Saccharomyces cerevisiae S288C: one gene and its partners. Changing the gene in region 3 together with the main gene of any one other region gives a genetic interaction. Each region holds a gene or a part of one and is shown on either strand. Other genes may lie near its edges.

What was found.
Region 1: of RNH1 (region 3) and RAD2, changing one suppresses a phenotype caused by changing the other (phenotypic suppression), as found in Saccharomyces cerevisiae (one study listed by BioGRID).
Region 2: of RNH1 (region 3) and RIE1, changing one suppresses a phenotype caused by changing the other (phenotypic suppression), as found in Saccharomyces cerevisiae (one study listed by BioGRID).

What each region holds. Positions count from the first base shown.
Region 1 is NC_001139.9:1,007,116-1,012,539, forward strand, and holds RAD2 (ssDNA endodeoxyribonuclease RAD2), read right to left. Parts: upstream 3,652-5,424; coding exon 556-3,651; downstream 1-555. Other genes in the region: MTM1 (Mtm1p), read right to left, coding at 1-190; TNA1 (Tna1p), read left to right, coding at 5,370-5,424. UniProt on the Saccharomyces cerevisiae protein: Single-stranded DNA endonuclease involved in excision repair of DNA damaged with UV light, bulky adducts, or cross-linking agents. Essential for the incision step of excision-repair.
Region 2 is NC_001139.9:990,621-995,382, forward strand, and holds RIE1 (Rie1p), read right to left. Parts: upstream 2,902-4,762; coding exon 556-2,901; downstream 1-555.
Region 3 is NC_001145.3:738,607-741,826, forward strand, and holds RNH1 (RNA-DNA hybrid ribonuclease), read left to right. Parts: upstream 1-1,659; coding exon 1,660-2,706; downstream 2,707-3,220. Other genes in the region: FUS2 (Fus2p), read left to right, coding at 1-353; TRI1 (Tri1p), read left to right, coding at 579-1,259; GTPase-activating protein RNA1, read right to left, coding at 2,906-3,220. UniProt on the Saccharomyces cerevisiae protein: Endonuclease that specifically degrades the RNA of RNA-DNA hybrids.

The sequences.
Region 1 (5,424 bases), on a different chromosome or scaffold from region 3:
CTGAGCTAACGGCGTTGGGCACTTCGGCAGCCCCATCACATGAACAGTCAGGAATCATCTGCTGCTGTTGCAGCCGTATTCTCACTACATCCATCGGTGTCAAAATCAAAGAAGTGAGTACTGATCCAGCACCGGCACTTAACATTCGTTCTTTTAAGGTCAGGCTGTTACTTGTATTGCGATCACTCATATCGTATTATCAACACCTCGTTTCCTTTCCTACGATACTTTATGGCTTTGGCTCATACGATTCCTGTGAAGTGAACTGGCACAAATATGAGGGTAGTGTGCCCCAATTCCAGAGGAGTGATCTTCCCGGAAATATGCAAAAATGACAGAATGTGTCTTATTCTCTAATTGCTATTCTGAGATCTTCAAGATGGCGAAAAATAACGTTGCGCGTGTTTGGGTGGGTGCCAAAAGTGTCATACCTCACCGACGCAAAGATACCAAAAGGACCGTATATATCTACTATTCCTGGATCGGTTGACTTTGTTAACATGCAGAAACAAAGGTAATGTTTATAAATAGTAAATCATACATAAGTATATGTTATTACATCTTTCTTTTCTTTAGTTTACCTGTTGCGGTTGAAATTCTCTTACTTGTATTGAGCTTCTTATCACCAGATATGTACTCCCTTGGAAAAAATTCATTAATCCTTTTTTGCTTCCCCTTCTTTTTGCGTTTATTAACATCTCTAATTAAGGGAATGAGAATTTCATCAGACTTTTCGTGTGGCCAACCTAGTTGAGTCTTCATGAATGAACGAAGCATATCGAGATCTGGTACCCCCCAAACAAACGGCGTGGTATCGTGATCGACTTCTGGTCTCATATACGCATCATAAACCATGACGCTAGGAAAATCATCATCTAAGATAATTTCGTTATTTACCAGTTTTTTTCTCAGGTCTTTTTCAAATTTATTTTCCGTTTCTTGCTTACGTTTATCAAACTGCCCATTATTATACCAGTCTTTAAAATTTTTTAGGTTTCCAAATTCTGCAATCACTTCAATGCTTGAAACGGGACCCATACCCTTCAATCCATTCGTGTAATCGCTCCCTAAAAGCTGTGCCAACTCAATCATATTCTTTCTATCCAAGCCCAATAATTTTAAAATAGATTCCGCATCATAAAATTCAACATAGTTCTTTTCGTGGAACATATTTTTGTAGATCTTTGTACCTCCAAATAGGAAAACATCACTGTCATCGGTAATTATACCATCGACAAGGTTTAGTTGTAACAATTCCGCACACTGTGCTTCAGCTTCCATAGGCGCAGTGATATAGGGGATTCCAAACCTCGATAGTAATTCTTGCACTTCTTTGATCATATCCATAGTTACCTCATCCGAATCTCTTTTATCCTTCATCTGTTGTTCGAATAATTCATCCTCCACAAAAGCGTTCTCGGCAACGTTTCTTTCAGCAGAAGTGGACAAAGTCGTGTTTTTAAATGTATCAAACTCTTCTTGTTCCTTTATCATATTTTCTACTATGTTATCTTCTTCATCTTCGGAGAAGTCATAGTCGAATATAAGAGGCTTTCTATGCTCCTTATTTATAGATTCGACTTTTCTACTATCGTTATCCTCTGCTTCTTTTGAAATCTGAGATTTAGTGGGAACGTCCTCAAATAGTTCTTCTGATAAAACTTCTAAGTCATCGTCCTTGTTTTCATCATTGGAGCTCTCTTTCTCGCTTTCTCTTTCTAATATTTCCGTAGCATTTAAGCCTGTCAAGAGTTCATAGCTACTCCCTTTATTGGTAGTTTCTGCTCCACTTTCTTGTTCATTTCTTACGTTTTTATCTTCCACGAAATTTGTTGTGTTATAGGGATTATACAACTGCTGGGAAGCAGTTGAAGAAAACCAGCTCGGCATTTCAGGAATTGGAGACTTTTCCTTCGTGGCTTCTTGGGACACATTACTCTCGGTATTCTTTTGAAAAAGCAGGGAATTTTCATTGTTAAAATCAAACTGTGGTATCTTGTGAGAAATAAAATTCAGGTTTTGCTCCCCCTCTGTTAAAATAGCCCCTTTATCCTCCTGCTGAGACGGTGGCCTAAACTCAGAAAGAACTGTCTTGCTGGTCCTTTTGATGACCGACTCTGATTTGCTATTCAAATTTGTGACATGATACGGTTGCTTACTATCCGGTTGTGCGCCAAGTAATCCATACTGTACTATTGGTGGACGAGCCTCTGTACCTTTTGACGTTACCGGCTTAGCGATTTTTGATTTGTCGTCCGCTTCAGGTTTCTTTTCCATCTTAGAAAGTTGCACTGCCTCCATCATTTCAATTTCCTCAATTTGTTTCAGGTAATCCTCATCGTCGTCTTCCACGCTGATTCTGCTAATTCTCATTGTTGGAGTAGTCTTGGAGGGCGATGCCTGATCATGTCTTTTGTCCAAAAACGATTTACTGCCAGCGTTGTTTAGGGATTGGCCCATGTAAGGCAACCTTGCAGCTTTCAAAGAAAAATCTTCCACAAACTTGACGTTCTTGGGCTTGAGTTCAACTTCTTCCCACTCACATTCATCAGAGTCACATCCCTCATCTTCTGACCGGTTACTCCTTTTCTGTGGAGCTGTCGTCGCGTTAGAAGACTCATGTCGCACTATTTTTAAGGAATTATCTTCCAAATCATCCCATCGGAGCACGTCCCCGTCCTCAGCATTACTATCTAACTGCTTTACCAAAGCGCCTGCATCTTTATCGTCTATTACGATTGCTTTTTGCGCATCAGAGCCATCGTTTGCCCCTAGTCCAAGAATCCACCCGTTATTAGTCTTAGTCAACTTGTACTCTTTACTCTTTTGGCCGGATATCCTATTGATCACCTCCTCGTTCAGCTTAGACGCTCCACCATCCTGAAACCCAGTAGTGTTGATTAACTTTTGAGTAAAAAAATTCCTCCTTTTCACCATGTCTATTTGAAATCTTGAGAAATCCATACTATTTGGGAAGATGGTCTCCAATTGTTCTTTCGAGTATCCCATCCTCAGTCTTGATTTCAACCTCAACGACGATAATATCAAATACTGTGTGGCCTTTGGCAGCTCTTCAAATTCGGCCGATGCTGGATTTATAGTGTCTAAATCAATGTCTTCCAGTCCATCACCGTTTATCGAATTCATCAGTTTTTCAAAAGTTTTATTAGAGTTAACTCTTGCATCTTCCTTATCGTATTTGAATCCCGGTATATCGGGCAAGTCCCACTCGTCCTGAGGTTTGAAGATCTGCACACTACTGCCACTACTCGGTGTAGAGTTTTTTACGTTATCGTTTGAGCCGTTTTGCAATTGTAAAGCCAGCAGCTTCCTAGCGGTGGATTTCGCACTCTCTCGTTTTCCCTGTCTTCTTTCTTTCCTCTGCCGTATTGTTTCCCTTTTCAATACGGGCACACCACCATCAAAGACGAATACCGGCCTAATGCCAAAGTATAATAGCTTACAAATTCTTCTAAAGAACCCAGTAATATGAGAATTCTTCACTGCATTCCCCTCCTGATCACGGACAGCTTTCAAAAACTGATATATCCAAATGGAGGCATCTACTGCCATTCTCTTATCTTCCAAGGATTCCAGCCTGACCGGTCTTGCCGTAGGACCTGCAATATCCCAAAATGAATGCACACCCATGTCTGAAGTTTGGCGTTCTCCCGAAAATGCTTTTCTTCATGGATGACGTGTAGAACCTTCAATGATTTACGTACAGTTTTTCAATCCCTTTAAGGTCTCTATATGTGGCGGCATCTTTTCTTTTTCTTTTCTTTTTTTTTTTTTCACTCTCCCTTTTAATGCCTCCACGGAGGTTCGAATGGGTTATACTAGAAAGAAAAAAAAATAGTGATAATTAACAATGAAAAAAAAAAAACAGCAACAAAATGTGGTATTGGGGTCACACCACTCATTGACTCACATCCTCTGGAAACATCAAAAAGCTACCAAAAAAGAAAAAAAAAAAAATTCAAGTGCGAAGTTTCCGCATATGCAAACCTTACTTATTGTATAATATTGGTAACAGCAGCTACTAAGCTCCCTGACTCTGATTTCTCTCTCTGTCTCTTTTGAGGAGTACCTTCTGCGCTACTGTGTTCCAATGGTATCTGCGCCTTGAAAATCAATCACAAACGCTCTTGCTATGGCCTGCCTTGGACACGATACGTCGCTGCTTATGCCGCCAGGTGTCAGTAAATGCTCTGACGCACCCATTCACCCCGCGCACTAATTTGCAAAATTTGGGGGCAGTTTGGGAATACTCCATAGAAAAAATCGACTTCAAATCAATTCCGCACAACGTCGCCGTGTTGGCTAAAGTGAACGGAAAATGGACGACATGGTAAAAGAACAGATATGTACATATACAGAAGCCGCGATTTCACATGCCGGCCATTATGGCACACAACCAGGTCTTGTACTGTCACTATGTGCGTTCCGGAACGCCTGTACAGTCCATGGTGAACCATTTATTTATTTATTATTATTATTTTGTACATTATTATTTATGCTATATGTTATTATTATTATCACTATTTAATATTATTATTCGGGTCCAGGTGAAATAACAAAGTCTGGCGCCAGTCACTTGTCTGGGTGCCCGTATTCTCTGTTACAGCGGTATCCCTCTGGATTCTGCAATCGTCGCCGGCTTCTACTAATTTTTCCTTTCCTTTTTGTTTTTTTTTTTTTTTAGTTTTTTATTTTCTAGTTTCCTGCTCGTATTCTGTTGGTTTTTCCAGTGTCTCTCTCCTTTTACAAGTCACCCATTCTCTGCGAAGAAGCGGTCGCACCAACAAAATAGAAAATACCACCGGACGCCGGATCGCTTATTACTCGCAATCATAGTTACCAATCACAGCCGGGCATACTCGGGATCTACCGTAGAATCCTATGCGTCACACATGAGGACAGGTTACGAACCGTCGAAGGCTTCGCGGCGTGTGTGATTAGTATTGTTTTGACCTCATCCATACACCCTGAAATATCTGTCGCATCTCCGATTACGTTAAAAATTCTGGATAATATATAAACCATGAGTTTTCCTTTCTTTGAAGTATGTTCCTACTCGAGATCCTTTTGTTATTTTATTGCCATTTTTTTTTTGTTTCATATGTACTTCTTATCTACTATTTATATTTCTCTATATTAACTAACTCTCCAAGCTATAAGCATACGTCCATATTTACTGTCTTAGAAGTCGTATTCACATCACAGTTTTCCCCCTCTTCGCCTTTTTCAAACTATTTTCCCCCGTGAGACAGCGACTGAAAAAAAAACGACTGCGCAGAAGGCTTATATAAAAAAAAAAAGAAATATTTCTTCACTTTCGAGCATTGAACTATTGTCATTACCTCTAGATGAGCAACAAATTTACAATGGAGTCACCTAAGCATTTGGTGGATGATGTGCTTT
Region 2 (4,762 bases), on a different chromosome or scaffold from region 3:
CGAAAAGGATATCGCTTTAGCCAAACAAAAATTTGTTGTGCTATTCAGTGAGCATGCATTGGCTATAGAGGCCGCACCTAAATTGTATCTTTTGATTTATGTAACTGCCACACTTTCTCTAGCACAGTCATGATACGGCTTTTTTTCATTTAGCCACCAAATACTGTAAATATCGTTTTAGAACGTTATGAAAAAATGCTCATCCACTTAAAAACCTCTCCGTATTCTGAAAGTTGGTATAATCTTGCACTTTAAGTGTATATCTTTTTATGCAATCTTTTTGAATAATGAGTGTTTTTCAAAATTTTGACATTCATGTGAATTGTTTATCTATCCTTTGCATAGTAAAAAAATAGATGCAGAATTTACTCACCTCAAGGAGGGGCAAAGTAATAAGAAAAGTTACCATAGGCTAGTTGAATGTCCAAGATCGTAAAGAATGAAGAAAAAAGGAGTAAAAAGTATGAATAAGATAAATGAAAATATAAAAATAAAAACCAACTAATACATGAAGAAAAAAAAGCAGACAAAAACATTTTATGGACCTGATGCAATCTAGTAGTCCATAGAATAATCACCACTAGAAAATTCTTCCTCTTCATTACTACCGTTTGCCATTATAGGAATATGATTTGCTGCAGGATTCTGCGGAGGTATTATATAGGGCACTGGCGGCACCTGTGGAATAAACCCAAATGATGGGAACATTGGCATCATCCAGTTAGCGTTATTTTGGTTTGCACTTATTAAGTTGTAACTGTTCACGGGCTTTGTGTTGGTATTAGGGTACTGCAGTGGTATGAAATAATTTTCCCTCGAGACTTGCTGTTGCGATTGGTTCTGAGTCATCAAGGCATTGATAAATTTCTTATTATACTTTGTTGGATAAGCCTTATGATAATCATTATGTGGCTGAAAATTTTGGAACTTTGATGAGTTATCAGTTTGGGATTGATCATCATCATCACTTGAAGATAAATTACCACGTTTCTGAGCGAAAGAAACAGATAACACTTGATCTTTGCTCACTTGATACCCGTCTGTATTCAAAATTGCCTTAGCAGCATCTAATGGGCTTTCAAAAGAAACAAAACCATAACCTCTTGATGATCCCACTGGCAGATCATTATCTGATGAGCTATCATTCGATTGTTGACGATACTTGTTCTTACTACCCCCAACAGTAATGACCTTAACGCTGATTATTTCACCGAAAGATTTGTAGAAATCATATAAATCTTCATCTGTCCAAGAAAGAGGGATGTGCTTGACATATAGGTTTGATTCTTGCTGATTACTCATTGGTATAGGTAAGCTGTAAGAAGTTGATGGGTACTGGTACATGTCAAACTTGTTGCCCATGAATCTAGGCACACGTTGACCACGACCTTCACTGAAAGATTCCCTTTGAGGATAGAACAGATCCATTTTCTCTGCCACAGGGGTTGATCTTACAGAATCAAAATACCGTACATTGGAGGTATCGTTGCTGTTCCCGTTTTTATTATTGTTGAAGTAATATCTATCATATGTATAATTATTGTAATCATACATTGGGTTATTTGCAAATTCCAAAACCTCCATATCATTGTGGTTACTGATGGAAGGGTGCCTGTCATGGCTATTGTGGTTGTTGTAAACTTTATGTTGAACCGCCTTATTAACAACGAGCCTGTTTCCATGCCACATGAACCCATTGAAGGTCTCGATGGCTGCTAGTGCTTGTTCATGGTTGATAAGCTTGATGAAACCATAACCCTTCAACATATCTTCATCTTGGGCATTTCCATTAGTATTATTGGAAGATTTGTTTGATTCTACTGACCCCTCCTCATTGAAACTTACTGAACTACTGCTTCTTGTATTACTTCTCTTCGGAAAGTAATATGAAATGATATCAAAGTCCGGAAACTTTTTTGATAACTCCTTCTTGATTACTTCTATGACTTCTTTAGGTGTAATCAAAGTCTCTACTTTTTCAGGATTGTGATAAGGCAAGTTGCCTATAAAGAGACACCTGAAATTATCATCATTGTTGTTTTCTTTGACATGGTCCCAATGGATTCTTTCTCTCTCCTTTCGCTCAACGTGATAGTTGATAAATAGTGTGGAGCCATTTACCGTCCTTCCATTAAGTTCCTTGATGCAAAGTGAAGCTTGAGAACCCAAGGGGTAGGAGATGAACCCGTATCCGTTAGGTTCGCCTTTCGTTTTATCATATATCAATTTCATTGATAAAATTGGTCCATATTTTGAAAATAAGAAACTTAGTTCACCAATAGAAAGGCTCTTTGCTATTCCCCCGACAAAAATATTTCCAGGATAGGTTAGTGCATGCTTGTTCACACCGATAGACCATTTATCAATATGCTGACCAATAGGTTCGCTCTTGAGTAATTCCGAGATATCTGTACATGCATTTTCTAATGACTTGGGGTACTTGAATTGTGCTTGCAAAACGGTATCGTATCTCCAATCATCTTCCTCTTCGTTATCTTTGTAAGATTTCTCATACTCTTGACTTCCATGCTCGTAAAGATAGATGTCTTTATTTTGTTCGAGAACCTGTAACCTCCTTGTATCCGGAAGAAATTCATATGTTTCTGTATCAGAGTTGTTAACGGAGATACCTTTGTAGTGCTGTATTGTGTCCATTATTTGATCGGTTATTCTAGAGTTGCAGTGATCATCTTCTTCTTCTTGTAACTGCCATTTTATTCTTATGGTTAATAAATTTGTGTTGGCCAATTGTTCCAGTTGAAGACCAGTGGAAGTTTTCCTTTCAATTTTTATTGATTGGTCTCCAGCTTCTGCGCTCGCTGATGTCTGCTGGCTGCAGATATCTGTATCCTCGGGGCCACTAGATATTACTTCATCTGATGGTTCTTCTGCAATATTCATCCTCGAAACTTCTGATGCGGTTTGTCTTTCACGTATAATGTTTTTAGTAAAATAAAACTTATGGTTTATTTTTGGATTTTTAATCAGGGTGCCTTGTAATTTGGGATGTGTGCTATGCTTTACTTGTTCACACTTTTTTTGAGACCGTTGAACGAACTAAAATTAAGAACACTCTAATCCTTCGAACAAAAGGCACTTTTCAACTATTATTTACTTATTCAATATTTAAGGGAAGTTTCTTTATTGTGCTTGACATATATATATGTATTTATTTATATAGCGCAGTGGCCAAGAAAATGTTAACGTGAAATAACGACTAACGGGCAGGCGTTATGCACGGAAAGAGATCTACTAAATTCCGCCCAATAGGGAATCTCCGACTGAATTTTTTTGCCCTTTGGTCAACTATTCCCGGGAAGGGCATAAATTGAATCAAGCGCCAATTTTACGTCTTCGGCTAGTAATCGGATCAGCGGGAGAAACATCGTACGTACACAAGAGAATACCGAGAGTGTCGATTAATCAACCACGCTCCATGAGGCTTATCCGCATTCTACTTGCATGTTAGCCGGGAAAAGACATAAATCATCTCAATTCTCTAGAATACTCTAGAGATTATGTAAAAGCGTAGCCCCGTAGATGATTAAATAATTTTCGGTTTCTTACCCCGTAACCACGAGTTGCGGTGTTTTTGCTTCTATCGGGGCAATAAGCGGGCGCTGCTTCTCGGGAATGTAAAAACTGTGCTTCCTACCATGAAGTAGTTGGATCTTGAAATGGGTTGGGCCGGAACAATATGCAAGTACTACAATCCTTGTATTCCCATATGATTATATTCCCCTTTGCATAGGCTAGTGTTTTTTTTTTCGTTCTTTTGTTTCTTCCGCTAGGAATAGTAGTGGCGATCTGCAGAAAGACGCTCTAAGGAAAAAGAGAGAATTTCGATCAGTCCCGTACACATTACTCTTGGGAAGTTCAATTCCTTCGGACGTAATCCACATACGAACTTGGCTCTCATCTGTTGTCTTCAAGCTGTTGCGGCCCTCCTCTTTCTCTCTGTTGTACACATTTTTTGACTTTCAAAAATATGCCGCTAAGGAAACATAACCCTTGTGTATGTGAGCTTGTAGCATATGATATAGTGCTCATTGGCATGTGACAAGAATTGCGTATGTAATTGAAGTTTGTAGTGTAATTTACGAAAATAGCCGCCCTTCTTCTTCATTAACGATTATTGAGCGTAATGATATAAGATACAACGGTTTATTTAGGGCTGCATCCATGAAAATACTTTGTAATAGTGAGTCGTCGCCTTGTTTGTTTATTCAATACAATGCAGTGTCTCTATAGTCTCCTCCTTTAGTTTCACTATCTTTTCTAACCGCCGAAGATATACGAGTGTTCTGAACGAAAAACGACCTTTTCAAACATAGAATATAATTGTATATATACATATACATATATGATACGCAGCCACATTCGTAGTATCTTTAAGACACTGCCTTTCAAAAAAGCTTTGGTATTTTGAAAGAAGATCGAAGCCAAGGAACCAGGACTACAATGAATTAGACGCTACAAAGTTTCTTAATTGGAAAACAAGGAGGGACAAGGAGGAGACTTTTACAGTAAACCAGAATGCTCCTTCACTGTTCAGTTATGTAATGTTATTGTTTGGAAGATCTGAAGAGAGGCATTTCCTACAACCTCTTGAATAAAATAGTGGAAGGCATTTACACAAAGAAGCCGTGCCACTTTGGTCCGGATTTTTTTTACCTAAAATCGTCTTAAATTGGCCTGTTCGATAGCTGTCATTTGTTTTAGATATTTATTTCCTAACGTCAGCTTTAGTTACAGTATGTAT
Region 3 (3,220 bases):
TTAAACGTGACTTGTTGGGAATGCATTTCCAAAACCTGCAAAACCAGATGAAAAGGGAATTACCGGTCTTTATTACTTTGATCCACGATACTATCGAATGTATCTTGTTGAACTATATCAAAGTCTTCTTAAAATATTTGGAAATCATTGCTGGTGGAAAAAAATACCTGCAAAAAGATCTTGAAAATATGTCTCTTAATGACTCTATAGCTACCGGCCAAATTAAAAATCTTGATATTTTGCAGTGTTATTCTAAATCACGATATATGACAAAACGCATGGTAAGAAAAGATTGGCCTTTCCCTGGAGACCCTAGTGGAAGCCGTGTTGTCAGAAAACTTTTCGAACTTTAACAAAAGAGTATATTTAGCTTATAGTTTTTAGAATGTTTTGTTTTCTTTTTTATTAAAGTAGTACTACTGCGCTGGAGCAGTATATATGTTGAACTATAGTCAGTCACCTATAATTTGTTTGCTGGCGCGAAGGAGAAAGAAAATTTTAATTAATTCATGAAAAGCCTTAAGAAAAAGTTTAAGAGGAAATGAGCAAATAGAAGGCAAATAGAGGGTGAAAGCATTATGGCCGACATCAATAAATATATTCCGATGGTTGACGCTATTTTGAGCGTATCCAACCCCGATGAAATAAGCCCAAAAAGGGTGAGGAAAGCCCTGCAAATTCTCTATTCAGTTAATTTGGATTCACAAAGAAAGTTAATTAATGAATTGATTCTTGAGAGGTTCGGCGATATACAAGAAAACCCAAGAGTCTTAATTCCGAAGAACGACCTCATTAGTCGGGATCAAGAACTATCTTTGAGGTTACAGAAGGAAGAAGAAAGACCCTTGAGGTCTACGAGGAAAAGGAAAGGTAAAAGTGAAAGTAAATCTAAAAGGAAGAAGAAAAAGAATGATAGTCCTGATTCCAACAGCATTTCCGTCCGCAAAGTTCTGTTGTCAGCTCCTTTACAAAAGTTTCTAGGATCTGAAGAACTGCCACGAACGCAAGTAGTGAAGATGATATGGCAGTATATCAAAGAGCATGATCTTCAAAACCCAAAAGATCGTAGAGAAATTCTATGCGATGAGAAGATGGAACCAATTTTTGGCAAAAAAATGACGATGTTTTCAATGAATAAACTCTTAACTAAGCACTTGTTTAATCCCGATGAAATTGTGAAACATGAAGAGGAACAAAAGCAAACACCCGAAAAAGAAATCAAATTGGAAAACGAATCTCTTCCCAATTTAAGCGGTTGATCTTGGCTGTAGCACTTATACAAATTTAATGATTTTTTTTCCTCTTTGATGACATGTATAAAGCACACTGCACCTACTGTATTGTACTTGAAACAGGTAAATTAACAATTAATGTAGCATTAGTAATAAATAATTTCACTTCACGGCGTTAAAGAAATACTATGGCAAATTCGATTTGAGAATTTCGTCAAATTCTGATGATATCAATTAATGGCATATTTTTTTTATTTTTTATCTGGAGAAAAAAATGTAAAAATGACAGCAGCATCAACAATGAATAAAAGCAAGTACAATAGTCGTAAAGATCTATATTAATTTCATGGCAGCACAATAATACACGTTGTTTAAATTAGTTAAAGTGTCACTCCTTGCTTATCGAAGGAACTATCGATTCCTAATTATGGCAAGGCAAGGGAACTTCTACGCGGTTAGAAAGGGCAGGGAAACTGGGATCTATAATACATGGAATGAATGTAAAAACCAAGTTGATGGTTATGGTGGTGCAATTTATAAAAAATTTAACAGCTACGAGCAAGCGAAATCTTTCCTAGGTCAACCAAATACTACATCAAACTATGGAAGTTCAACGCATGCTGGAGGGCAAGTTAGTAAACCTCATACCACTCAAAAGCGAGTTCATCGAAGGAATCGGCCACTTCATTATTCCTCCTTGACATCGTCATCAGCATGTTCATCTTTAAGCTCTGCTAATACAAATACCTTTTATTCAGTAAAGAGTAATGTTCCAAATATCGAGAGTAAAATCTTTAACAATTGGAAAGACTGTCAAGCCTATGTCAAGCATAAAAGGGGTATAACCTTCAAGAAGTTTGAAGACCAATTAGCTGCGGAAAACTTCATTAGTGGTATGAGTGCGCATGATTACAAGCTCATGAATATATCCAAAGAAAGTTTTGAATCTAAGTATAAGCTTTCTAGCAATACCATGTACAACAAGTCTATGAACGTTTACTGTGATGGTTCAAGTTTTGGAAACGGCACGTCATCTTCAAGGGCAGGTTATGGTGCATATTTTGAAGGAGCGCCAGAGGAAAATATTTCAGAACCCTTATTATCGGGAGCTCAAACTAATAATAGAGCTGAAATCGAAGCAGTATCAGAAGCTTTGAAGAAAATCTGGGAAAAGTTAACTAATGAAAAGGAAAAAGTAAATTATCAAATCAAAACTGATTCAGAGTACGTAACCAAATTATTAAATGACAGGTATATGACGTATGATAATAAAAAACTTGAAGGGCTACCTAATTCTGATTTAATTGTTCCTTTGGTGCAGAGGTTCGTTAAAGTTAAAAAGTACTATGAGTTGAATAAAGAGTGCTTCAAAAATAATGGTAAATTTCAGATTGAATGGGTAAAAGGACACGATGGTGATCCAGGAAATGAAATGGCAGATTTTCTGGCGAAGAAAGGAGCATCTAGACGATAATGCTGTTTTTTGCTTGGCTTCTTACTGGACCTGTTGTACCTGTAATAGAAATATATATTTTATATCTTTTGCATACATATACATACATCAGCTATTTGGTTTTTTAACTTACCCGATAACTATCTATAAGCGTGTCACCATGATATTTGCCTGAACCTCGTCCACAGTTGATTGTGTTTATTTTTACTTTTATTCATAGCTATTTGATTTCAGTTTCAGCTAAACGTTCAGCAAGATCATCTACTTGTACTTCTAGCAGTTCCTTTTCAAGCCTTTCCGTTTCAATTTCTTCGAGTTTTTCATCCTCGTCCTCGTCTTCCTCGTCCTCGCCTTCCTCATCTTCACTATCGACCTCTTCAAAATCGTCAACCTCTAAATCATCAAATTTGCTTTGGAGCAAATCTAAAGCATCAGAATCTTCATCTAATCTGTTACCATTTATTTCTAGCTTTTCCAATTCAGGTAAATTTCCCTTTTCCATAGCCGGTAAGAAGGATACTTCAATGGTTTCTTG